2 linked regions of the Arabidopsis thaliana genome follow. The protein of the gene in region 2 interacts with the protein of the main gene of each other region in a pairwise test. Each region holds a gene or a part of one and is shown on either strand. Other genes may lie near its edges.

Region 1 (13,939 bases), on a different chromosome or scaffold from region 2:
TAACCATATCGAAGCTTCTTCCGCCATCGCTTCACTTATTTGAAACTCCGGTAACGGCGGTGATGGCCTGAAGAGCCAAGAAATTGAATCAGAAATGAAGTAATATTAGTTACAAGTGAATATTAATATACCTGTTGAGAATGGAAGCAGATTTGGACCAGAGGAAGAGAATAGAGAGCAAGAGAAGAAGAACACTTGAAATAAGAGTAAAGATAGTGTAAGCAAATGCCTCAAACACCATCCATGAAGCTATTGTCACTGTAACTATACCAACACTCACATTCTTCTTCCTCCACAGCATCACATCTGCAACTGCAGATTCATTTCATAACAAGAAAAAAAAAAGGCTATAGAGGTGAGAGATCACCTAGCTTTTATAAGTTTTGGATTTGGTAAAGAAATGTATTCACTAACCAATGCCTCCTCCCAGAATCTCATGTATTGTCCTGTCTCTGTTGAACAACTTGTCCGAAGAAGAACTCATTTGAGAAGAAAGATCAGAGCAAACTTGGATTCAGATTTCCTCAGATGATCAGATCCCAAAAGTAACCCAGATATGTATATCTTTCTCTGAATGTCAGAAACAGATCATTATGTGAAAGGAAATCCTAAAGGCTCGAATCGAAGGAACCTGATGTATCACAAAGAAAGTAAAAATAAAAAGTGAAGAAGAGACTAAAGTTGGGTCATCACCATCATCATCAAAGCCATCAACTTTGAATATACAAATAATTAATTAATAATTCAAAGGCTATGCTCTGTTTAGGGAAAAAGAAGGTGTTTGTTGTCCTCTCGATGTTTTTATTTCCAGCCTAAAAGTGTTATCCTTCTTGTTTTTTTCAAACTGTAAAAGTTCGCCAGATTGTACTTAGAGATGAATCAAATTTTACACCATCCTTTTATATTTTCCATAGAACACATTTAAATTGGTCATTCATCTACTTTTAGTCAACTGAAGTAATTTATGTACCCTTTTCAGATGTAGTTTCCTATGAATTCGAAAAGGTCGAATCTTTATCCTCAATTTAAGATTGTCAGAAGAATTTAATATGGTAAAAAAATCAAACAAAAACAATTCCACAAACCATTTATTATCCTCTGTTTTCTATCTTTCGATGTAAGCTTTTTTCTTTCTCTGTTCTGTATGTAAAATTGTTGATAACTCTTGATAACAAACCAAAACAAAGAAACAAAAGTGAATATCCCACCACCTCCATCAATAACACTTGTTCTCTATTTTCTCTGCTACTTTTGTTTCTCAGTTTCCTTTTCAGAAGTGCCCACAGCTCCGAGATTGGCCTCAGCAGCAGAAGCATCAAGCAAACTTGCTGCAATTGCTGCCTTCAAGTCATCATCTTCCATCTCTGAAAAAGCCTGCACTTCCTCACGTGACAATGCCTGATTCCGTCTTTGTTGATTAACATTGTCATTACTTCTCTTGTTTCTGGCAGAAGAACCTGAGCTCGTGTTCTTTCTTATTCTCTCTGCGTCTTCAGGAGAAAGCCACTGCCCGAAACTATTGGAAGCTTCAGAAGAAGACGACATGGGACATTCCTGAGGGAAGTTTCCTTTCACTATGAAGATACTCCATCCTGCGCCTTTGAGAGAGTCTAAGAACGCAGAAAGGTAGAACTTCGATAAATGTTGCGGGGCAGCAAGGAGACTATCAAAGTTATACCATTCGCCATTCACTTTCCTTATACAAAACCAATGGTCATGCAAGTGGCAGATAAAGGCGCTTTCAAGCTCAGGGTCTATCTGCGCAGGCTCTGCATCTGGACAATTGAGTGGAATTACTTGTAGATCCCACACTTCCAAAGCTTTTTGCAAGACCTGTCAATCAAACAGAAGCATTCTCAGTTAAACGAATAAGCAAAGACTAGATCAACTTTGCAAGATTAAAATGCTACACCAATCGCATAAACCCTCTGTTTGCAGTGTTTTATCCGCATCCAACTTCAACGTAATCCGTTAAAATAGCTTTAATTTTAGATATCTAAAAATGTGATGTAAAACACCATACTATACCCTTGAATCTCAATACATAAATCTTGCAATCAAACCTGACTTTTGTAGCAACCTAATCAAATATCAAGTTATCAACCAACTCGGTTTAAAGCTATCCAAGAAACAAAAGATGATAATTGAATATACAGAACCTCACTAATAACTAACATATCCAAAACAATTGAGTCCCAAGATAAAAAAAATCATCTCAAGTTCCTCCATTTATCAGCATAGCAATGTTCGCACAATGAAACTAGCCTTCAACAAATGAGTTTTAACCCAAAGTAAAGATCGCAAATTCACACCATTACTGATCTCAATTCTTCTTGAATCTATCTAAAAACGAATCCAACCATTCAAAAGTTTATCACTTCAGCATAAACACAGCAATCAAAAGCACCATAAAATCGAAACCCTAATTTTGCCTAAACTTCCAACAACACAATAACAAAAAGGCTTTACAATATATAAATGTTGAATGCAACTCAAGATTTATCAATTTCATCGCGAATTCGTACCTGGATACTAAAATCGCCGCCGAGGGAAACATTGTGCGACTCTTCAGCTAAGAAATCGCCGGGAGCAAAACCTCCAACGGCAGCACCTTCAAGCATAACCTGACGCTCCTTCCCGTCTAGATCGGCGGCGACGGCAGCCAAATCGAATTCAGAGAAGAAAGGCCCTTGCAACACCGTGTTGACGCAGTGTACGGCGCACAGATTTGACTCTTGAACCTCGTGATACAACATTCCTCCGTTGCTTGTTCGTTCCATCGCCGATTAAGATTTGAATATCAAAATTCACTGATTTTGCGATGAATATATTATTATTGCTCCGATGCAAAAGTCTCAAAGAGATTGTGAAGCGAAGATGAAGATGAAGATGAAGAAAGAAGAAGAAGAAGCAAGTTAACAGATTATTTAAATAAGAAAATGTAAGGGACGGAAAAGTAAATATACAATAAAAGGATGCCACGTGTAATAACCGACTTTCTAGGCCTTTTTCTTATTTTGCAGACGAGCCCGATACTGTTTTGAGATAGGCCCATTATCTCAAAATTGACAGACCAACTTAGGTTCCTTGCTTCCCAAGATTTCTGGTGATCTCTTTGATGGCGACTTCTGATAATGTGATGGGTATGATCGGGTTGGTTTATGCCTGCATTTCGTAATAACCACGTCTGAGAGCACTAATACAGAGTTAGGAATTATACTACTGAGAGCACTAGCAGCAATGTCCGTGAACAGTTTAAGAATTTAGATAAGTTAGTGACAGATTTAAAGAATGAGATTCTGTATAAGCTTTTACGCCCTCTGATTCTTTCATCAAGGTAATACATCTACTACTTCTACCTGTTTGTTCTAAACTCTTATTATGGTCTAAATTTTTCCTTCTTAGCCATATAATTGCAAGGCTAGAGTTGATTATACTTTGTTAAATGATTAGGTTTGGTTTCATTTCCAGATAGTCCTGCTGGCTATTTCCGCTTCCGCTCATTTAGTGACCAAACCTGGCTTCATCGCACCACCACATTCGTAAAATGACAAAAAAACTTTCTCTTTTTCTATGTGCATATAGTTGAGCTCAATAAAAAGCTTGTTTCTGACTATATATATATAAACCATGGGTTTTACTGAACAAATAAACCCCAGAATCAAAATCTGTTTTTGACGCTTGCTTGTCTCAATCTTGTTAGACAACCTCCAAGAAGCCAAGGGGGCTTCCTTATGCATCCTGATCTTGAGCATTTTCCAAACAGTTCAGATATATAGTCAAAAGTAAAGACATCTTCAAAGAAACAGAAGAAAATACTTGATCTCTTTGTTTAATGTCTAGTAGTAAGTTTACATATGTATTGACAATAGGATCCTATGTGCTTTGCTTTTTGTTAAGATTTCCCATGCTGTTGTTTAGTTTTTGATTTTATTTCCCAGCTTATTGCTTATAACTTCCAATGTATATAATAAGTTTCTTAAGAGCAATGGCAAAATATAGGAGGACATATTATCAGACGGTCAAAAAGCTTTAAGCAAAAAGCTCATAAAATAGTTACCAATAGCCTTTTACATATAAGTGGAAGACTGGAAGTATTCAGAAATACATAAGCAAAACCAAAACAAACCTAACACACCAACAACAACTAGACCACATACAAAAAACATTTACAAGCAAAACACTTTTCAAACAAATACTGTTAACTCCAAATATCTTCCACACCAGTTTCTTGATCAATGTGCTCGACCAACAGCTTTCTTGTATTTGTAGCGTTTTGAAATCCAGAGGTACACTAAGAAGTTGAGGAAACTGAGAGTTGCCAACAAGTAGAAAAAGTAATCAAGATGGCCTCGGTTCAAGTTATCCGGTATCCAACCCGGTTTACCGTTCTTCTTCGTTATCTTCATCACAACCGTCACAAGAACTGTGCTCAAATAGTTCCCCAACGCAACCGTGGTCAACGACAAAGCAGAGCAGAGACTTCTCATGGCATCAGGAGCCTGATCATAGAAAAACTCAAGCTGACCTATAAAGGTGAAAACTTCTGCACAACCGATAAGTAAATACTGCGGTATCTGCCAGAATATCGACATATGGATCTGTTTTTGGTCATATGCATTGTGAGTTTTGACATAATCAAGCCTGACAACCTCCAAGACTCCTGCAGTGATCATGGCAAAGATGGAGACCACAAGACCTATACCCATACGTTGAAGCTGAGTGAAGCCTCGTTCATTGCGTGTGAACTTTCTTGCCAGCGGGATAATGAACTGGTCATAGACAGGAGTCCAGAAGAGTACACTGACAGTGTCGAAAAGTGAGAGTGAAGCTGATGGGATTTCAAAGTTTTTTCCCATGTGTTGGTCCATTGTGTTTCCTTGTAACACAAACATTGTGCTCATTTGGCTGTACACTGTGGCGAAGACTATTCCTGTGGCCCAAACTGGAAGAAGTGTGATTATTGACTTAAGTTCTTCAACTTGAGTAACAGAACATAGTCTCCATGGATTGACTTCCCCGTCTTTGATGCTATCAGATTGACTCTCAACCGCTGCCTTGTCAAAAAACCTGAGATGTTTTCAAAACTTTAGATTTGAAAACAGAGTATTTTTGAAGTTAGGATAAAGATTCAAACTTTAGTTTCTTACTTTAAGTTATCTGTGTGCACAAGTTTCCGGCTACCTTTGATGTTACTCTCATCATCTGCAGTTTCAAAGAGCAGAGACTTGTCCTCTGGAACCTTAACACTTATCTTCCGAAAAGCCGCTACTATAACCTGAAAGATCCTAGTAAGTGGACTCCCTCCAGGTCTCTGAAGTCTGTAAAAACGGCTTCCGAAGAAGAAAAAGCAAACCGCGATAACCATCGCGACTGTTGGAACACCGAAACCCCATCCCCAACCAACATTCATTTGTATCCAGACGAGAACAGTTGCAGCAATGAGAGCTCCAACATTAATGGAGAAGTAAAACCAGTTGAAGAAAGAACTTTTCTTGATCTTCTCATTCTCATCATTCTCATCAAACTGATCAGCTCCAAAGGACGAAACACACGGCTTTATACCGCCAGTTCCAAGAGCAATCATATAAAGCGCGACAAAGAAAACAGCAGTCTGACTAGAATTTGGATGACAAGTATCAGCATTGCAGTTACCTGGTTTAAGTCCAGGAACTGAAGCTGATAATGTCAAAAGAGTCATACCCTTCAAGAGAAAAAACAAACTTAATTAGTTTTAACCAAAAGATTCACATTTTTAACCAAAAGATAAGAAACAAGTAAAACTCACGGAGACATAGATGAAAACAAAAGTTGCAATAGTCCAATATCGTCCAAGGTAAGCATCAGCTATAAAGGCTCCAATCAAAGGAGTTATATAACATGTTCCAGACCAATTCGTGACGTTATTTGCAGCCGTAGCATTGCCTTGATTCAGACGGCTCTCAAGATAATTCACAAGGTTAGTGCCCATGCCATAGTAGGCCAATCTTTCACAGCACTCATTTCCTACACAAAACACATAAAACTGGTTAATCTTATATGGATAGATCCAATCAGGGCCCAAGCTATATAATAAAAAAATATAATGGCCCTTTCTTTATTTAGACAATTTTTTTGAAGAAAACAGAGCAGATTTTAGGTTTATAACTCTTTTTTCATAGTGATCACCCTACAAAACTAAACATTTCCAATAATATTTTAAATTTTATTTGTTCTCTATCATTCAATTTGCTTTTAATCGTATATAATCTCTTTTTAATCATTACATTTATTATTTACATGTAAATGTTTTTAGTGGACCTTAAAAAACAGGGGACACGAGAGGCCATTACTTAAGCTGGTCCAGGTCCTATACGGCAATAATGAAGAAAAAGATTGGTGAAACGATTAGAACGTTACCGAGAATGAAGCGGCAAGCTTTCCAATTTCCGGTTTTCTCCTTGTTTGCAGGATTTTTGTGAATATCAACAGTTCCATCTTGCGTATACACATCTTTTTCTTCCATATTCCTAATAAAGAAAAATAGTTTAGCTTTTTCAAGAAAGATGTACCAAACACATACCTAAAGATCCCCAATTTAGAGATCCATACTTCAGGTATAAGGTTATGAGAAAACCCTTAAAAATATACGTGAAAGAAATTGACTAGTAGATGCTTAGATCGAAATATGCAGATGAAGCAAGCAAGTACGAAATTTTCATGCTCTGAAATTATAGTTTATGTGTGACCAGATGAGGTTATGGTTGTAACTTGTAACGAAAGGAAAACTCATAAAAGACTTAGAAAAAAGGGAGAAACCTTTGTCGGCGGCAGCTGAATCAGCGGCGGAGACGAGAGGCAAGAAGAGAAAAGAGTAGCCGAGGGCGAGGAATTACACGGCACTTGTCGGAGTAATAATGAGCATGAGCTTATAAAAAAGACTTGCAGAGCTCTGGTCCCGTACAGCTTTTATATCCAAGGAAATAGAAAGGAGCGTTGCTCACTTTTCTTCTCATGTTTGCAGTTTAACCCTTTGAGTTTTTGTATATTTCAGTTAGAGCCGCAAGGCCTATTGTGCTATCAGATTTTGATATTATCTTGTTTTGACTCCAAAGTGTAAATAGATCAATATCGAAGGACGTGTTAATCATCCACCAAAACTTTAGTGGACTCTTTTTGTTTTTTATCCGATATTACGGAATTGACATTACCAGAAAGATAACAAGAAAGAACTCCTACTCAAAACAAGAAAGATACAAGTGTGAATACAAACACTTTGGTCAATAAGATGATTTGGAGTTTTCTTATAAAATTGAGTTCATACTCTTTCTTTTTTTATTTGAAACTTGTGTTCATACTCTAAATATCAGATTGTCGATTTTGAAAAAAAAAAATAGTTAGGTTTATTAAATTTGGTTTTGGTTGATGTTTGATTTTGGATATGTGAAAATAAAGCCAAAAACATCACTAGATTCAATATTCAATTTGGTGGTTCAGTCTAAATCCATTTGATTAAATCTCTAATCACTCCCTCGATTAAAAACATTGTTTCAGCTTTAAGGTCTCAGTGGATCTTAAAATATAAACTAGGGTAGTGATATTAGAAAGATAATTAAAGGTGTTTGATTTGGTTATGCTAAAATAAGAGGTGCTAATGACAATTAGTAATAAAGTAACCGTTGATCTAAAGATTCACCGAGGACGAATATTAAAAGATGCATGTGAATCGACATATGTAGCTGGATCCTGTTTATCTACGAGGATTTGGCTGTTTATCGACTTAGTTGTTGGACTTGAACTCTTTACTCCAAAAGCCCAACAAACTAAAGAGACAAAACCAAAAGTAAAATTTGATGTTTATGAAGCTAAATTTGAAAAAGAAAATATATCTGACCAAATTTGATATTTATAAAGAAAACATATTTGATGTATTTAACAATTTTTAAATTGATGACGTTTAGTTGCAAACAAAATAAATAAATAAATAAAATAGGTAAAAAACAGTGTGCTTTGATTGCTTTTATTTCATTGGAAGTCTTACCACGGCTTCCATACTCTTGTAGTCAACTTTTCTTACATATTCGTCTAATCAGTTATACCAATATATACTTTTGAAGTACACTAACTAGTTTTTGTTTTTTTTGTTAAAACATTAACTAGTTGTTGGGATGTGACATCGAGACTATGATGTTTCAAGGTGGATTTTGTGCAACGTGAGTAAGTAATCTTTGATCAGTGGTTTGAACTTTGAACTAATCATTATATCATTTGACACATTTTAAAATCAAGAACTAATAATTAACTATAAAACTTCAACGTTGATATGAAAGGTTGTTGCGAGGTCCAACTTTAATAGAATAAGTACGAAAATTGTTGTCAGATCTAACTGAAAATATAAGTAAAAGATAACACTTGATAGATCCACAAATCAATGATGTGCAATTATATAGAAATTTGGATCACTCATATTTGATTATTATTTCACGGGAATCATAGTAGTTGACCTTTTGATTCTAGTCTAATCCATTGATTCTTCAAATCCAATTAAGAAAAACCAATTTGTGCTTCAATTCAAAGCATTCTTTTTTTTTTTTCTTTCTGAAATTAAGATCAATTCTCTAAGCTAGCTAAAACGTATACTTGAGAGCTGTTTGGGAAGATAACTCTCTAGAAAGAAAAGCTAAAAGGTAATCTAGGTATCATCACTATCGACGACAACTTTGTTTGCCATTAACTTTTTAAAAAGTTGTAACTAATCTCACAACAGATCAAACCTGAAATAAGCGTGTAGTTTTATTTTATTTTATCAAAAGGTTAGATAAATGAATTAAAAATTCCTTATTTTTGGGCGTCAAGAATTCACATCCACGAAAACATTATATTATGACCGCTAAAGAAAGGTTACATCTAGGCTTTTTTTTTTTTTTTTTTTTTTTTTGTTTTGTGTATGGTGAATGGAAACTCCAATTTTCATTTCTTTTCGCCACCAGATGTTTCCATTTTACATAAAGTCTTCAAAATTTTCTTTGGAACTCCCAAATCCAATAATTGACATACTCAACATGAACTTTATTACTCAGTTGTACAAAAACCAACGGCTTTAATACGGAATAATGAACTGATATCCAAATAAGAGTTATTGCTTTCTCAAATGGTTTAATATCTATTTTTGGTTAAAACCTGTAATGAGTACTAAAAACTGACGATGGTTTATCTTTGCATGCGTCATCTTCACTTGTATTTTGTTTCTTACTTTGTCTGTCTCCTTCATCGGATGGTTGTGGTCTTTTCTGGTTTCTCCCAACCTCCGTTTCAAGCAAGAGACGACCTTTGTTAGACAGTACTTGATCAGATTCGAATTTTTCTTCCTGTTCAAAGACAAATTGTACCAAAACCTAAGTAATAATAGTTGATATTTCCTTAACCAAAAAAAAACACTAGTTGTTATTTTAGTGTAAAAAATTAAGTATATTTTAACGTATTGAATGATTGCCTAAGATGTTGTAGTCATACCGGAATTTTTCCAACAATCATGTGAGCCTTGTAGAAAACATCTTTCACTTGGGTTTCATCACCCCAAGCCTCCTCAAATTTGGTTATTAGATCTTCATTTATAAGCTCTACTCCTTTTTCCTTAGCCTTCATCGCGGGCTGCCACGATCTCAAGAACCCTATAAACCCTTTAAGCGAAAGTTTATGCGGAATGTCTAGAGTAATAGGCTTTCCTTCGGAACCCATCCCTATGGTCTCAAAAGGAAATGTCAATGTCTTGTAACCGTCAAATGCTAAATTCATAATAGGAGTTCTAAAAGGTAGAGTAGAGTCGACAAGGCGCTTCATTATGGGATCGATCTCATGCGAGATAATGATATCGTTGTATACCCAAACGGCGATTAGGCCTCCTTCTTTACGAAGAACACGTTTTGCAACATTGTAAAATACGTTGAGGTCGAAGAAATGGACAGCTTGAGCAGCAACTATGAGATCCACGGAGTTTTCTCCCCCGAGTAGATCCACCATCTCATCTTCTGATATCGTTGTTGGAGTGTGATGGTAACTGATTCTTGAGTGTTTGATTGCTCGTTGAAGTTGTGCTTCGTTTATATCGGTAGCCACTACATTCTCGTAATGCTCCACAAGCTGTAAATTATAGATTTCATGGTATTGTCAAGCTTAGTTCACCTACTATATTCTATATGTGCATGCATAAACATCAATAGGCAATCTGCAAGAGGCGAGTTCACTTAACTTATTTTGACAACATATATTTCAGTTTATAACTTGAGTGGTGACGACAGTAATACTTATCACTAGGTTGCAAGTCTTGAACAAATTCACTTACTATACATTATATATGTATGATATACCCACAATTCCACATGCATGGTCTCATTTACCGTTGATGAAATATTAATGTTTTGTGAATCTAGTAAAACAAAACAACATCTAAGCTCAGTTTTGTCTTTAATTTACATTTTCTTCCAAATCAGTCTAAGCTCATTTGCTAAAGACTATATAAGTTACGTAACTTCATTTTTCCTACCTCTTTTTGATGTAAATATTTTTTTAAACATTATTTTAGGTTAAAAATATCTATAAAAAATTATGCATATATTAAATACGTAATAAAACAGCAAAGATCGTTGACTAAAAAGATAAAAATAACAAGATCAAGAGGCTGAATAACAACAATCAAATTTGCCGCAACCAAGTTTGACTAATCTTTAGAATGATAGACATGATCACATGATGATTCACTGAAAGAGGCCCTCCTAAGTAAATTAGCTACCTTGTTGCTAGATATTTATCAGCAAATCTCAGTATCACAAATCATACTAACTAGAACTTCATACTAAAGGAAAAAAAAAAAAAGAAAAAAAAATAAAAAAGAACTTCATACTAAATGAAGGTTTTCAGATTTTCCCAAATCTAAATTAGAAGATATATAGTATTATAAAGCTTACCCCAATAGCAGCCTGACCATTACCAGTTCCAACATCCCAAGCAAATTTGTGGTCCTGTGTCCGTGCGGCAATTTTCTTAAACCAATCGATCGGATATCTAGGCCTTGCGTCGAGATAAGCTTCAGCCTCTTTCTCTGATAAGGCAGCCATTTTCTTCTACGTACCTCTCTCGTTTTCTTTCCTTGGTTTGAATACACAACTAATTCGTTTTCTATTTAAACTCTCTCGAGTCTTGAATAGTCTTGTTTCTATTAATATATTATGAAAAAGTTTAACCAAGTCCAACTTGGCGTGAGGTAAAGTTTCACTGCAAGTCCTTCCTAAGACGTCGTTTAAGACTTTTTTGTTTTAATATATTTTTTGTCGAAGACAAAATAGTCAGTATATAGTTGTAAACCAATATGCAGGCAATGCAAGTTTCCACGAAATGGTAGAGAAAAAAATGATTTAGTTATAATCAATTTTCTTTCAATCTCGAAAAAGGAAAATTGTACATATAATCTGTGTTTTATCTGTATTAGTGTTAGGCCCAAGTTCATTAGCTGAAGTTTCAAGTCATAATGGGCTCAATTTTGGGCTTATCTCTTGGGTTTAGTTTTTACAAGATAAAGTTGATAAAGTGAAGACTAAAATGAGGAAAAGAGAGGGTCTCGAGCGCTTTTTACTCTTTCTTCTTCACGAGAGCAGTGTCGTTGCTCTGATCTTGTAACTGTAACTCCGGCGGATTTTGCCGTTTATACTGGATTTTTCCGGTGTAGTATGTGATTCCTCCGATATAGACGCTAAAATCACTGTTCACCGTGAAACTCGTACATCAAATTTCGTCAATTGCGTTTCTTTATCGCTTTTGAGTTTCGACTACAATTCATGAAACCATGAGTGAGATCGTGAGAGTTCAAGAGATCGTTTCTAAACTCTGGAACCTAAACATAGCCTCCAAAAAATCCCCGAATCTGGTTACGATCATATCGAATGTTGGTTATAATCCTTCGTTTGAAACTAATGGAAGCTTCAAAGATTTCGTTTCTCGATTACTAGCTCGACGTGACAGTTACCGTATAAGGAGATTCTCTTTGAAACTACGTTCTTTGGAATTTGATTCAGCTAAGTACCATCTTGTCAACGAATGTCTACGCAATGTGTTGAATCGAGGTGTTTTGGATCTTGAATTGGACATCAATGTCAATGAAGTTTACAAATTGCCATTTGAGGTCTTCACTTGCAAGAAAGTTGTGAAATTGAAACTAGGTTCTGATTTTGTTATTGACAATATCCCTAAGAACGCTTTGCTTCCAGCTCTTAAGACTCTCTTTCTTGATAAAGTTCGGTTCATTGATAAAAGTGGTGGTTGTGCGTTTACAAGGCTTGTTTCTGCTTGCCCTGTGCTAGAGGATTTAGTGATATATAGGAACAACCGTGAAGATTGGGAATGGTCTCGCATTGTGTCTAGTAAGATCCTTAAGAAACTTACTATTCGGCGTGAAGACTGGGAAGATCTTGATGGCTCTAGTTATGAGTCAATTAGTTTTGATACTCCGAGTCTTGAATACTTCGAATACTTTGATGTTCTCCGAGATGGGTATCCAGTTGTTGATCTCAAGTCCCTTGTTGAAGCTAAGCTAGAACTTCCTCTTTTTATGGTTGGCGATACCTACGATGTTAAGAATCTGATTAAGGGCTTAGAAAATGTTCAGATTCTGAGCTTAGGCGTTGTTGACACGATGCAGGTAAGTGATCGCTATTGTTTCTCTTTAATATGTTACTGTAGCTTAACAACTAGTAGAGCATGAGGAAATTTAAATCTAGGAACCATTGAGATACTAAGATCATATCAATCTTGCTAGTGATTAGAATGTTTGCTCAAGTAATGACTGACTTAGTTGTTTTTAATTCTGTTTCAGGTGTTTTGTTTCTTCGAAGAAGCAGTACCAGTGTTTGAAAACCTGTTTCATTTATCACTTAGCACTGAAGTAGATTTCTGTTGGAATGTTCTACCAATTCTGCTTGAGAAATCTCCAAATCTAAAGACTCTCACCATTCAGGTATGACCTAAGACCCCCAAAAGTATATTGGACAAACTAAAGAGTCAAAATCTTCAATCTCAAAATTCCTGTCTTTTCTAGGCTTTGCATTATACTACTAATCACTATGGGGATGAGAACACTGTTTGCGATTGTTTGGAGGTGTATTCTTTCTTATCGTCCTGCCATATTGAGGTTCTAAAGATAACCCAGTTCAAGGGAGATATCGGAGAGATGGTGCAAATAAAGCATATCTTGGAGAAATTGCCGAGTCTTGAGCTGTTGGAAATTCATGGTCAGGTAAAAGGAGATGACAAAAAGCTGCAGATCATGTTGGATCTCCTAATGTTCGAAAGAGCTTCGTCTGAATGCAAAGTCGAGGTCAAGTTTCCAGTTTGTTTTGCCTCAGCATGAACTTCCATATCTGATAAGAGAAACAAATGAGCTTCCGGTTTGTTGTTGACATGAGAGCTGGTTTGTTTAGTGTCTTTCTTATCCATGCAATTTCTGTATATAACAGCTTGACATTTTTGTCATCTTTGGCTCCTTGTTGTGTCGTTTCTTCGTGCCTAATTCACTTGAGTTTGTAAGAGAGATGCTATAGCTATTAGCTATCAGCTACGTTAGGTCTACTATGACTCATTTGTGCTGTATGTTATTGTTACTTTACAGTTTACACAGTCTATTTGACAATTTGGTAAATGGGATATGATTTGACTGATGTTGTTTGTTTCGGCTCTAGTAACATTGTAGTTTATATGTTTTATCAACGAGCTAAAAATATCTCAGTATATGCAATGCGCAGAGAACTAGAACAAAGCTTGATTTAAAAAAGAAACACATCATAAACCAACATACACAAGAACTAGATGATTATGGCTACAAGAGACTAAAGTTGTTATATAGATTGTGTCCAGAGATACAAATACAATACACACGAAGTCATTAAGCATTGACACTCAATTGTTACAAAAC
Region 2 (12,156 bases):
ATTAATTATAAGCTATATAATCTACAGATTTTCACTTCTTTTTGTTTAATTGACAAATTTACATCCTTTTAAATATGACTGGATATGGTATATTAAATGTTTTTGTCAAGGAAATAACAAAGAAGGTAATAGTTGACAAAAAAAATTAATTCATAAATACCACTTCACAGAAAATCAAAGTATATATATTACAAACGAGCAAAATACATCCATGGCTTCCTCAACAAATCACCAATTCATTTCCATGCTAATCACAGTTCTAGTTATCTTCAAAACATCGTTAGCGTTTGAAAACTTTTCATCTGTCGATGGTAATTTCCCGTTCTCACCTAAACATGTTATAATCATCAACACTTTGCACCCACATGGAAAATTATACGTGCACTGTAGGAATAAAGGGGAAGATTTAGGGCTTCATAAGATAGAATATCGAGAACAAATAGATTTCAGGTTTCGTGTCAATCTACGCAGAACAACAACATACACTTGTAAATTCTCGTGGCCAGGAAATGAAAAGACGTTCGATATTTTTAGAGCGGATAGAGACGATAGTTCAAAAAGTACAAGTGGAATATGTAGAGAATGTATTTGGTATATTTGTGAGACAGGTCCATGTCGTGCTAGACGCGATGGAGGGGATCCATTCTGTTTTTCATGGACATCTTAGAGATTGACTGGTATATCAGATTAACAGATGAAAAGACAAATTATGAAATATCGGAATCAATAAAAAGATGGCACTTTTAAATTGAATATATATGTTTTTTTTTCAAATGCCAAAAATTAATATTTAGTAGATGAATAAAGTGTCTTTAGTTTAGTTATAATTTCAAAACCTTTACTTGAAAATACATCATTATAAGCTTTATTATCTACAGATTTTCACATCTTTTTGTTTAATTGACAAATTTCACATCATTTTAAATATGACTAATTATATGGTATATTAAATGTTTTGTCAAGGAAATAACAAGAAGATAATAGTTCACAATTTTTTTAATTCATAAATACTACTTCACAGAAAATCCAAGTATATTAAAAACCAGCAAAATACATCCATGGCTTCCTTAACAAATCACCAATTCATTTCCGTGCTAATCACAACTCTAGTTATCTTCAAAACGTCATTAGCGTTTGAAAACTATACATCTGTCGATGTTGATCTTCCGTTTGCACCTAAACATGTTATAATCATCAACACATTGAACCCACATGAAAGATTGGTCGTGCACTGTAGGAATAAAGGGAAAGATCTAGGGGTTCATGCGTTAGAACCTCAAGAACAAATAGATTTCAGGTTTCGGGTCAATCTACGCAGAACAACAACATACACTTGTACATTCTCGTGGCCAGGAAATGCAAAGACATTTGATATTTTTAGAGTAGATAGAGACGATAATTCAAAAAGTACATGTGGAATATGTAGAGAATGTATTTGGTATATTTGTGAGACAGGTCCATGTCGTGCTAGACGCGATGGAGGGGCTCCTTTCTGTTTTTCATGGACATCTTAGAGATTGAATGGTATATCATATTAACAGATGAATAGACCAATTGTGAAATATCGGAATCAATAGAATAACGACACTTTTAAATTGAAGAGAAATGTTTTTTTTTTCCAAATGCCAAAAAACTAGTATTAGATAGATGAATAAAGCTAAGTTTGTTTAGTTTGGTTATAATTTCAAAACATGCAAGAAAAATTAAATAACCACGTGTTATTTTTATGTTTTATCATTGATCACAGTTTTATGAATAATAACTAAGTACTCATCAGAATTGTTGAAAACGTGAAAAAACTGCATACCAATCAAGCTCTTAATCATCGTAGAATATTTCTGGTATTTTTCTTTCATTTCGTTGTATCCGAATAGTATTAAATAGACAAATAAGCTGTTTGAAATTGTTGTTACATATTTTTCACTATTTGTCACTAAAACCTATATAAGCCTATTTACATCCCCATGCAATTTCATATACGTATGTTTTATATTCTCTCTAAATCCAAGACGGGCTTTGATTATTCTACAGCAAAGTATTTGAGTGTCTCTTTCCATTTCTCTTACTTTATCAGTTGTATACTTGTATAGTATAAAGGACTCTAACCCGAGGTTGAGATGGAACTGTGAGCTTCATCCATCTACTTTGTCCTTTGCAAACCAAATAGTCACCAAATCATGTGTGTTTGTGTGTAATTTTGTTTTGCTTTGTGTGCTTGTATATTATGAAACATATCATATAGCGTTTTATTTTATTTAAACCAATAATTTTTTGAAGTAAAATTATTATTACATATACATTAATTGATATGAAACATACATAAGTTGTATAAATATATTAGATATTATTTTATAATTTTAACAGAAAACAAAATTGGAATTTTCTGATTAAATTTAATTCTTATTATATTTTTAGAATTTTCTGAATATTTAAAATTTAACTAAGTTTAATTGATATTATATTTTTGGGAATAATTTAAATTATAAATGTATTGGTAAAATCTGATTAGAAATATGATGAAAATAGATAATCCTATTTATTGTGAATATTTATTTTTAGATTTAAATATATAAAAGTAATAGAGGAAAGATGTCAAGATTATGAAGCTCCCAAATCTTAATTTTTTGTATATATTCAATTTTCCATATTAAATCTCTTTAGTTAGGTTGTTTTAATTGAAATTTTGTTTTTAATTATTTACTATATTTTTAATTGGAAATTGCTTTTTTTTTTTATGTTGTTGGAATATTTATATATAATATTAATGACAATTTTTGTAAATAATCTAGTAAATGATGAACAACGAATTAAGTTGGTTGAGAATTGCTCTGCTTGCGTCACGTCAGCATGATATCTCTGTAAATACTACAGTAGCTAAAGGTTATTTTCTTAAGTATGTTTCTTAATTAATATATAGGGGATAGAGAGATCTTATCATTTTTTCACACTTTAAAAAATATTAATTAATTAAAGAACAATAAAGATAACTAATTATTAGTTAGATTATTTTTAAAGAACAATAGACCTTTTTTTTTTTGGTAGGGAAAGAACAATAGATTTTAACTTCCTTTCTCCCCTCCTAATGAGTAATTAAATGATATATAATCAATTTTTCCCATCTACATATAAATACTACTTTCGAAACAAGGAAAAATATTGTGTCACAAACCAGTAAACCCTTCCATGGCTTCCTCAACAAATAACCACTTCACTTCCGTGCTTCTCTCATTTTTATTTATCCTAAAAAAGTTGTCATCTTTGGGAAATCATTCGTCCAACGATGGAATTTTGCTATTTTCACCTAAACATGTCGTGATCTACAACACATTGACCTCACGTGCAACATTGGTCGTACATTGTGTGAATAAAGAGAAAGATTTGGGGATACAAAAGCTCCCAATCGGAGCTAGTTTCGATTTCAGGTTTCGTGTCAATCTTCGTAAAACAACAACGTATAATTGCACTTTCGAGTGGCCCGGAAGTATAGAGAAATTTGATATTTTTAGGGCAGACAGAGACGACAATGAAACAAGTCCTATTGGGATATGTAGAGAATGTATATGGTACATTTATGAACCAGCCCCTTGTCGTGAAAAACGTGACGGAGGCCATTCTATATGCTTTACATGGGATCGATAGAGGCTCTTTTATATATATTTTATGGGATTTTAATTGCTTTACAGTGTGACAAAAAAAAAAAAAAAAAATTGCTTTACAGTATTTGTTGCATCTTATTTTCCTTCTCGTGGTTTATAATGGTAATAAAATAAGCATATTTAAGGGTTACTATATCTTGTGAATTGTGATCATAGACTAAATTTCTTATACACCTACAACATTTTTAATCTCTTGGTTACAAATGTTTGTTGGCGTTTTATTACATGCTATGATATAGTGTAGGGAAATTCAAAGAAATGCAGAGAAGTATGGAAATGGAGTTGTCGAGATAATTAAGGAGAAGTAATGAGCTTGATAAACTTCAGTCTATTATAATTTTCATGGAAACTTTTTGTTTTGACATTATTGGATCATATTCTGTCTAACCCCACTTCAGGTCAAAGAAGAAAGCGTTTACACAAAACTTCCAAAAATATAGAAAAAATATGTATTCAAAAAGTTGTGTGAAATCCGGAAGTACTCGAGGAAAGGGAAACAAATATTGTATGTAGTCAAATACTAAAACGTAAAATGAGAAAAAGGTAAATAAATAAAAGAAAAAGAAAGAGGAAAGAGTCAAGAGAGCATATATTCCCAACTAATGTTTCCAGTTATGTTGTGAGAATAAGATTTGAAGAACAAGCGTAAAAGCAAACTCCAACAACTACATGTTTTTAATCTCCATATCTGTGCAACAATCGTGAAAATAAAATCCTTCTTTTTAATCTTTATTGTGGCCAGAGTAATGTTTTTGCGTTTGGGATCATTCTTGATTGTTACTACAGAACATGGTAAATGATAAGAACCATAAGTCAAAGGAATCTAAGGAGAGATTGAAATGGAGTTGTGAGCTTCAAAACAGATTCATCGATGCTGTTAATCAACTTGGTGGGCCAGAAAGTTCGTCTCTATCTTCTTTGTCCTTCTGAAAACTCTTAATCAAGGAATCAAGAAGTGTTTGTGGTTTGGTCTTATGCACATTTCTTGATTGTTTTTTCATTTTTTTCTCTTTGTTATGTGTGATATCAGAAGTGATGCCTCAGGGTTTGATGAGGATTATGGAGATTCCTGAGCTTACTTTGTACCATCTTAAGACAAAAAAAGTTCATCAACCTTTTCCCAGAACAAGAACAAAAAAAGGCACAAGTTTTTTTTACAAAAGCTTCTTATGTAAATCCTAATTCTCGGACTCAACACCATCACTGTTTCCACCGTCCTGCGCAGAAAAATCTCTAATTCTCCGACCATCGTTGAAACTGAACCTAACCCAAATCTCATTCCCATCGTTTCTTTTCTTCCCAATCTCATCTCCATCAACAGGCATCTCGTACCTACAAACAGGACACGACCCATGAAACCCTAACCATTTCTCTATACATCCACCGTGAAACCTATGCTTACACGGCATCTCCTTCACCGTCTCCTCGGACTTCCACTCCTCCAAACAGATCACACACTCTCCTTCACAGCCATCAATCTCAACGATCGGCATCGCATCGATGGAAGCCTTGGACGCAGGAGGACGACCTTCCTCACGTGACTCCAGTAAGCTACGAAGCAGAGGATTCATTCCTGATGAGCCTTCGAGCACAATCATTCCTTGTGTAAAAGGGTTGACTAAAATGATTCTCTCACGCGATGAAGCAACATCATCATCATCTCCGTTTGATGATTCTTGATCAGAGAAGCCTAAGAGAAAAGGCAAGAAGAGATATAAATCTCTGTTCCTCAAAAACCTTCCGGAAACAGAGGATGTCTCTGTTCCAACTTCAGCTTCTTGTTCTGTCGCCATCGCAAACAAACTATTGTTTTGAAGAAATTGGTCGTTTCAAGATTTAAGGGAGTTGCGTATGAATGTTGTGGAAAGATCTAGAAATTATTAACGCAGAAGACTTTTCTTCCCATGGGCCTAAAATAAATTAAGTTGAAGACAATGATTGATGTTATCGATATGCTTATCCATTAGCAAATATCTATGTTATATTTTTCTCTGACTCAACGTTATGATTTGTCTAAACTCTCCTCATTCCAGAGAGTTATACTTCAAGACGACGAAGGGTGTTTTTGGGAATTTTGAAGGCTGTTGCACATATTTATATGCATGATGGTGGATAAGAAGAAAAGAAAAAGTTCCACTGGTTTCGGATCTTTACTTGAAGTGACACGATTCACTCCCTAGTGGATTACACGTAAACATTTGTGAAGAGTAAGCAATGACAATTGATTCATATCAAATTCTCAAAAGATAAAATATGCTCCTATTGTTATTTATCAGTTGAAAGTTTTAGTACATCTTTGTAATATACACACGTAAAAGTAAAACTAAACTGCAAATCTAGTCTACTTGTACAACAAACAAACAAAATCAAATATTTTGTGACCAAAGAATGAACTCTTTTCTTATGTACCTGTGGAAGGACACGTGAACCAAAACGCAATGGTTGAAATATGTGCGTTCACGTTTTACCATTCGCGGCAGCAAAGAGAGCGTTTGGTTTCTTGGTATTTACGCCAAAGGCAAGTCATTTCGGCAGGGCTTTGGTAATGAGCAACCACATAACCATCCTTGCATCCATCACTAATGATCCTTCCATCGTTTTCGTAATGAGGCTCGAGTCCATGTTTTGTCAGCTCAGCTATCCATATCCCCATTGCCACATCTTCTAGCTTAAACATCTATTCACAAATTTCAAAAATTTTCACAATCCATTTCTATGTGAATCCGGAAATGTGATTGAATGGAGTTAGCATAGAGTAGTACAATACCTTTAGGTTTCCTTCTTTGAAAAGCTTACCAACCGATTCTGCTATGTCACGAGATACAATGTAGCCTGGACCATGCGCCCATGGTGGATATTTCTCTTCAGGCCATTCCTGTTTTTTGAGTAGAAACTTCGTTAAATGAATCAGAAATCAGTCTATTTGCAAACATAGCTATGTCAGATTGTGTTGTACCTCATAACTGATGTACCATTTGCTATCAGGGTTTCGAATAGGTTGAGAGTCGGAATTGATCAGTCCGTATATTAACCCGCGAGTGTTGTTGGTCATTGATAAAGAAAGTAACACTTCATCTACACGAACAAAGGCGTCATCATCCGTTTTCATGATGAACTTGGCTGAGTCAACCTCTGTCTGTTTAAAATATGACGTTAGTGAGGCAAAACAGTAAAGACTACTCAACTGTGGCTAGGAAGAAACATGACAAAGACAACTATATTATTACCCCGAAGATGCAGATGGCTAGTGTTTTCCAACTGATGAGACTGTAATAATCAACAAAGGGCATTAGCTGAACATCACCGTAAGTCCGAGCCTCGTTCCAGAGTTCCAAGTTAACAAGAGGACTTTTGTGCTGCATTACCAACCACAAAGAAAATCATCATTTAGAATTATGCAATTCCAACATACTCCTGATATTTTCAGAGAGGGAGAAAGCTTACAAGGCCAACAAAAAAGCGTACTGCAACTCTTCCAGATCTTACATCATCATACTGCATCCATGTTCTCCTCACAGCCATCCGTCTTTTAAAATTGTTTGCAGTGGAGAAAACACCAATAACGAGATCCAGTGGCCTTAATGGTGAAAGGGTAGGTGATTTTAGTGCCTCTAGATCAACAACGTGCTCTGATTCTTCTGATGTGGGCAAACCGCTGGCAAGAATGGATATTAACCTAAAGTCACCTGTAATCCGTATTTCACTAACAAGCCACGGTTCCAGTGTCTGAAAGACGAAGAACCCATATGAGACACTAAACATTTGATGGAAAATTGCTAAGAGCAGTAGAAAAATATATAAGAAGAGTGATGATATTACATCGCGGAAAGCAAATGAAGTTATATGTTTCCCATCAACTGTCATCTGCATTCCCTCTGTTCCCACCCTAAGTGTAGCAACCGATAAGAAACCCTGCTTGAAAGGAAAGTATTTTTCATGTTTAGATGCTTCCCTGGCTACTGGAACTCCCCTTGAAGTGTTGGACTGCAAGCTAGTTGAAGAAGTTCGGTTAATTTCTCCACCAACCATCTTGTTGCATTCATCCAAGTCATCCACTGTGTATTATAATCATGTCAACACAGACTTATTCATGGAGGATCAAGTGACTACATTTATGTAAGCGGGTGAAACTATACTTGCATTCACCTTTCTTATTCATATCAGGATCAAATTTTGGACAGCGTTCCTCAGCTCCCCAGTCCTGAGATGCCGTCCAGCTGTTTTGAACAATCACAGGGTCTTCCGTCGATTTGTCACCAAGAAGCCTAACATTATAATGCACAATGATGGGTGGATCAGGCTCCCCTGGAAGCGGTTGTCCCGTTAGATCAATCCGAAAACTACCAACAAGACCATCTGGGATGCCAATAACTGTGATGGAGGAACCCTGAGTCAAACCACAAGGAATTTGCAACTTCAGACTACTCCCATCAGCTTCAGTAGCATTCATTTTGCTTAGAAACTGAGGACAAAGCTCCTCTTTTCCTTTCCTCGTCTGATTTTCATTAACATCAACTAGTTTCTTAGCTTCAACAGCAGACACAAGACTCTCCCAAACAATGCCAGCTTCCTTAATAGCATCAACTCCATTAACTAAACTCTGTGCATTATCAACAAGACTTTCCAAACGGTTCCAAGTAAGCAAAGGCTCTCTCTCTTCTTTAGACACATTCTGCTCAACAAACAAACCCGAGACAACAGCGATATCATCACCAGATATCGCTTCTTGAGTATTCCTCGCTTCTTTCATAAAGTCAGGGAGAGTAATCCGCAGCCATTCCATAGGAAGAGTGGTGTTAGGAGTAACAACAACAGAAGCAGCAGCAGTAATATAAGGCTTTTCAACAGGAGTGTTCAAGTCTACATATCTATACACCGTCAAGAACATACACATTGATACAACAAGAAGCCCTCCATAAAATCTCTTCATTTTTCACAGCCGAAAATCACTCAAACGAGAAATCGCGCGGCGAGATCATCAATATTCAATCTTACAGTACAATGTAGCTATTTTTTAACTTCAATCAATCCCTGAAACACAAAAAAAAAAGTTATGGTTTTTAATCAACATAAGTCATTTTCAAATTTAAGTATAGATTCAGCAGAACCATGATAATGTTAGATTCACGAACTTTATACTAAATATTAACAAGATCCAAAAATATCATCAAAGCTTAACAATAAGAAGAAGAAAAAAAATCAGATTTTTATCAGTTAAGTCTGAGAAAATTGAAATTCAACAAAATCACAATAGACTAGTTAAAATCACTAGAGACTAAAAAATCAGAAGTGCCCAGAATTGTTCTCACTTCATAGAAGAACTTACTAAACCAACTATATAAGAAAATCAAACACAGAGCAAAAATTGAAAATCTGCTTACAGGCCAAAGGGAAGCAAAATTAAGCAATGTCTGTTCCGGAATCAGAATCCGGTACACCGGCAAACAGAGAAGTAGAGACGGAAAGATTTGCTGATTGAAATGGGATTCAGATCTCCGAGGCTTTACTAGTTCGCTGCTCTTTGTCGTAGTATCGAAGCACCTTCCACCAGCAGAGAAAGCGAAGGTGGTTTCATGTTTCTTTCTATTTTTTTTTAACTGTAAAACAAGAACGAAAATTGTAAAAACTGTAGAGGTAAAAAACAAAACTGTAAAGTGAAGAAAAGTTACCGATAGTTCTTTAGCTATTTTCATACAAAATTATACACAAGGTACTCTAAGAAAATACACAGAAATAGTTTCTAACTTAATTCAATACTAATTTAGTAATTTACGACAAAAAAAAAAAAAAAAGTAATTTTAATTACAACCGTAGTTTTAAAAGATTACATTTATATTTTGATTTCCTCTGTTTGCATGCTTTGGAAGAAGATAAAAAAAAAAAAAAAGTATCACTTGATCACTAAAGTTTTTTGGTTGAGTCTATGACTAAATTACTAAACACATATAAACGAGATCTTTGAATTATCAAGATTTGACAATTATGCCTAATCACTGATATTTTTGATGACCCTCTAGAAACATCATTTTTAAATAAACAAAGTTACATTTGATTGCAAAAAGTAAAATAAAGTAACTGGTAAAAAAAAAACAGTAAGTAAAAGTTGGCAAACGAAACTTGAAGGGGTAAAAACAAGTTCCCAAGTCGTGATAGCGAGAGATATGAGGGTGCTTTCATTTGTAACGCACCACCATACAATATACATACACATGCCAGTCATAATTAACGTCTCAATATATTGATTCCCATTTTTTGCTTTTATGTGCTTTTTTCTTTTGCTGGTTGAATCGTAGGGAGACAAACAAAATTGGACTGAAATGTTCACGTTGTTTTTTTTGTTTTGTTTAATTCACATAAGAGACTCAAAACAACCTACTCATGATGACTTTGCAAGCACACAGTCTTTGTTAAACTTACTCATGATGAAAAAATCTAGCCTTGTTGTACGTATATGCTTAAAAAAAAATTCATCTCGACTAGTAAAAAGTTGGCTGAATTAGAGTTTTCGAGTTAATAAGGCAAAAAAATTGCAATCTGTAAACGACAGCTTGAGTAGTTATAGCATATACTGTATATGACAATATATATAATGAAAAAGTTGTTTCATTGAACTCCCATTCCATTTGGATGGGGAATAGAAGCCTAGATAATGTTGAAATCCTAGGCATGGTAACTAACTCCTTTTGCCTCTCCTTAAGATTGAAGGCTGCTATGAGGGAGATTTCCACTGTCTTTAAACACTTTGAGTTTGCGAGAATGTATGTCACTAAATTGTTTCTCATCTTCTCTTCTTCCATTGTCTTTCCAACCAAAGATCTCTAGATGAGTTGACAGGCATGTGGGAATAGAACTCGACTGGTTCCAGGAAGGTTGGAGACCCTCGAAGTCCTGGTATCAGTACAGTTTATTATAATGTTGAGTTCATCAAAATTAGATGGATGCGCTTGTTACCGTGTTTTCGTTGATCATAAGAGTTTTCAGTTTTAGAGAATTTTGAAGCAAAAACATAAGTGGTTCTAACCAGTCTACGGAATTTTGTGTTTGAAAATAAAACGTTATGAGCAGAGAGAAGTTAATGGCGCTACAACACGCGACTTATGATAGAGGAAAACGAAGATTAGTTGAAGAAACAACAAGGAATACGAGAGAGAGAGAGATATATAAAATGGCTACCATTGATTTGGTCAAGCGCAAATCCATACATCAGAAGAAAGAGATCTAAGAAACTTGGTATCGGGATTAGGAACAAAGCCAGTGTCTGCCACATCAAGGCAAGACATATTCTCTATCAAGCAATAGTCTTCCCAAACGTCAACTAAGTCCACATCTGTTAATGAAGGGCAATCTATTACCAACGATCCATTGTGATCAATGATCATCATCCTCTACCTGATCAACCTAATTATCCTCTTCCTCACCAACCGATCATTATCCTCTTCTTCATCAACCTTTACCTCATCTTTATCCTATATATCGTTGAGTCTATATTTTACTGATTTTTGATAGCTCAACATCATTCTCTTATGTACATGTTATAACAAAAACAAATGGCTCACGATATTGCTAAAGAGTAAAAAAAAAATGTTCAACCGCTTATGCATGAAATGCATTGTGCTTAATCAAAACATGGCTTTTAACAGTAATCAAAACATGGTTTTAATGACCCGTCTCCATGGAGCGGTGGTTACCGAAGCTTCCTCAGCCTTCTATCTACAAACCCACCCAACTTTAGACCCGTCGTCACCCATCTCCTTGCAGATAAACACCTCAAGCTCGCCCTTCTCGTGCGGGCGAGAACCTCAGTCTTGGAATCTTCATACTATAGAAAATGATAAAGATTTGGCCCTACAATATTTTTTTTCTTCACGCAAAATTCATGGTGTTTGCTAATGTCAGTTACTTTAGAAAAATGATGCTATCTTTAACCTAAGATGTCCGGGGAAAAAAAATGAATAGTACAATATGTAATGGATCTAATAAGCTAGGCCAATGATGCATGTTGTGCCCGCAGTATTTCGATGCAAGGAAATTGGATCCTTCAATAGATATCATGCATGAACAGGCTAGGTACACATGAATGTATTCTATGTTCACAAAACATTAATTTAACTGGTATAAATTATACATGCCTTGAATTTCAGCAAGGAACTACCAGAACAATTTTCTCACCATAACATTGTAAGAGAACTGTAAATTAGTATTTTAACTAGAAACAAATTAGTAACCTTTATCATCTTTTTACCATGCAAATCACGGGTATCGTCCAATTATACACTGTTTATTACAACTAAATTTTGCAAGAAACACAAATAAAAATTAATAGGTAGAATGTAAATACATAGAAAAAATGTAGCCATAAAATTTAGAACTTGGGAAATTGAACTCGAGAGTCGCATCGACCATGCGGCATAACAGGACAGTTGATGAATTTGGAGGCCGAAGTGTCAACACATAAATAAATCTGATAGAGTTGGCTATTATGTGACGAATCTTTGTTACA

Evidence for each region.
Region 1: the proteins of AT1G26800 (region 2) and PTR1 interact in a protein complementation assay, tested with the Arabidopsis thaliana proteins (one large-scale study listed by BioGRID).

The regions. Positions count from the first base shown.
Region 1 is NC_003074.8:20,041,650-20,055,588, forward strand, and holds PTR1 (peptide transporter 1), read right to left. Parts: upstream 7,097-13,939; 5' UTR 6,799-7,096; intron 6,542-6,798; exon of another isoform or gene 6,510-6,541; 5' UTR 6,506-6,509; coding exon 6,400-6,505; intron 6,007-6,399; coding exon 5,789-6,006; intron 5,705-5,788; coding exon 5,151-5,704; intron 5,071-5,150; coding exon 4,236-5,070; 3' UTR 3,954-4,235; downstream 1-3,953. Other genes in the region: AT3G54120 (Reticulon family protein), read right to left, coding at 1-67, 132-312, 415-484; AT3G54130 (Josephin family protein), read right to left, coding at 1,246-1,833, 2,526-2,780; AT3G54150 (S-adenosyl-L-methionine-dependent methyltransferases superfamily protein), read right to left, coding at 9,153-9,347, 9,493-10,119, 10,944-11,093; AT3G54160 (RNI-like superfamily protein), read left to right, coding at 11,819-12,670, 12,845-12,985, 13,067-13,378. UniProt on the Arabidopsis thaliana protein: Peptide transporter. Mediates the transport of di- and tripeptides. High affinity transporter with low selectivity. No transport of amino acids.
Region 2 is NC_003070.9:9,280,742-9,292,897, forward strand, and holds AT1G26800 (RING/U-box superfamily protein), read right to left. Parts: upstream 5,655-12,156; 5' UTR 5,450-5,654; coding exon 4,835-5,449; 3' UTR 4,284-4,834; downstream 1-4,283. Other genes in the region: AT1G26797 (Plant self-incompatibility protein S1 family), read left to right, coding at 245-667; AT1G26798 (Plant self-incompatibility protein S1 family), read left to right, coding at 1,059-1,514; AT1G26799 (Plant self-incompatibility protein S1 family), read left to right, coding at 3,184-3,639; GALT1 (galactosyltransferase1), read right to left, coding at 6,121-6,333, 6,424-6,531, 6,613-6,792, 6,884-7,012, 7,101-7,382, 7,476-7,711, 7,803-8,586; AT1G26815 (FBD domain family), read right to left, coding at 10,133-10,453; RNS3 (ribonuclease 3), read right to left, coding at 12,019-12,156. UniProt on the Arabidopsis thaliana protein: E3 ubiquitin-protein ligase involved in protein quality control (PQC) under proteotoxic stress. Is essential to plant survival under proteotoxic stress. Functions by removing damaged proteins before they form cytotoxic aggregates.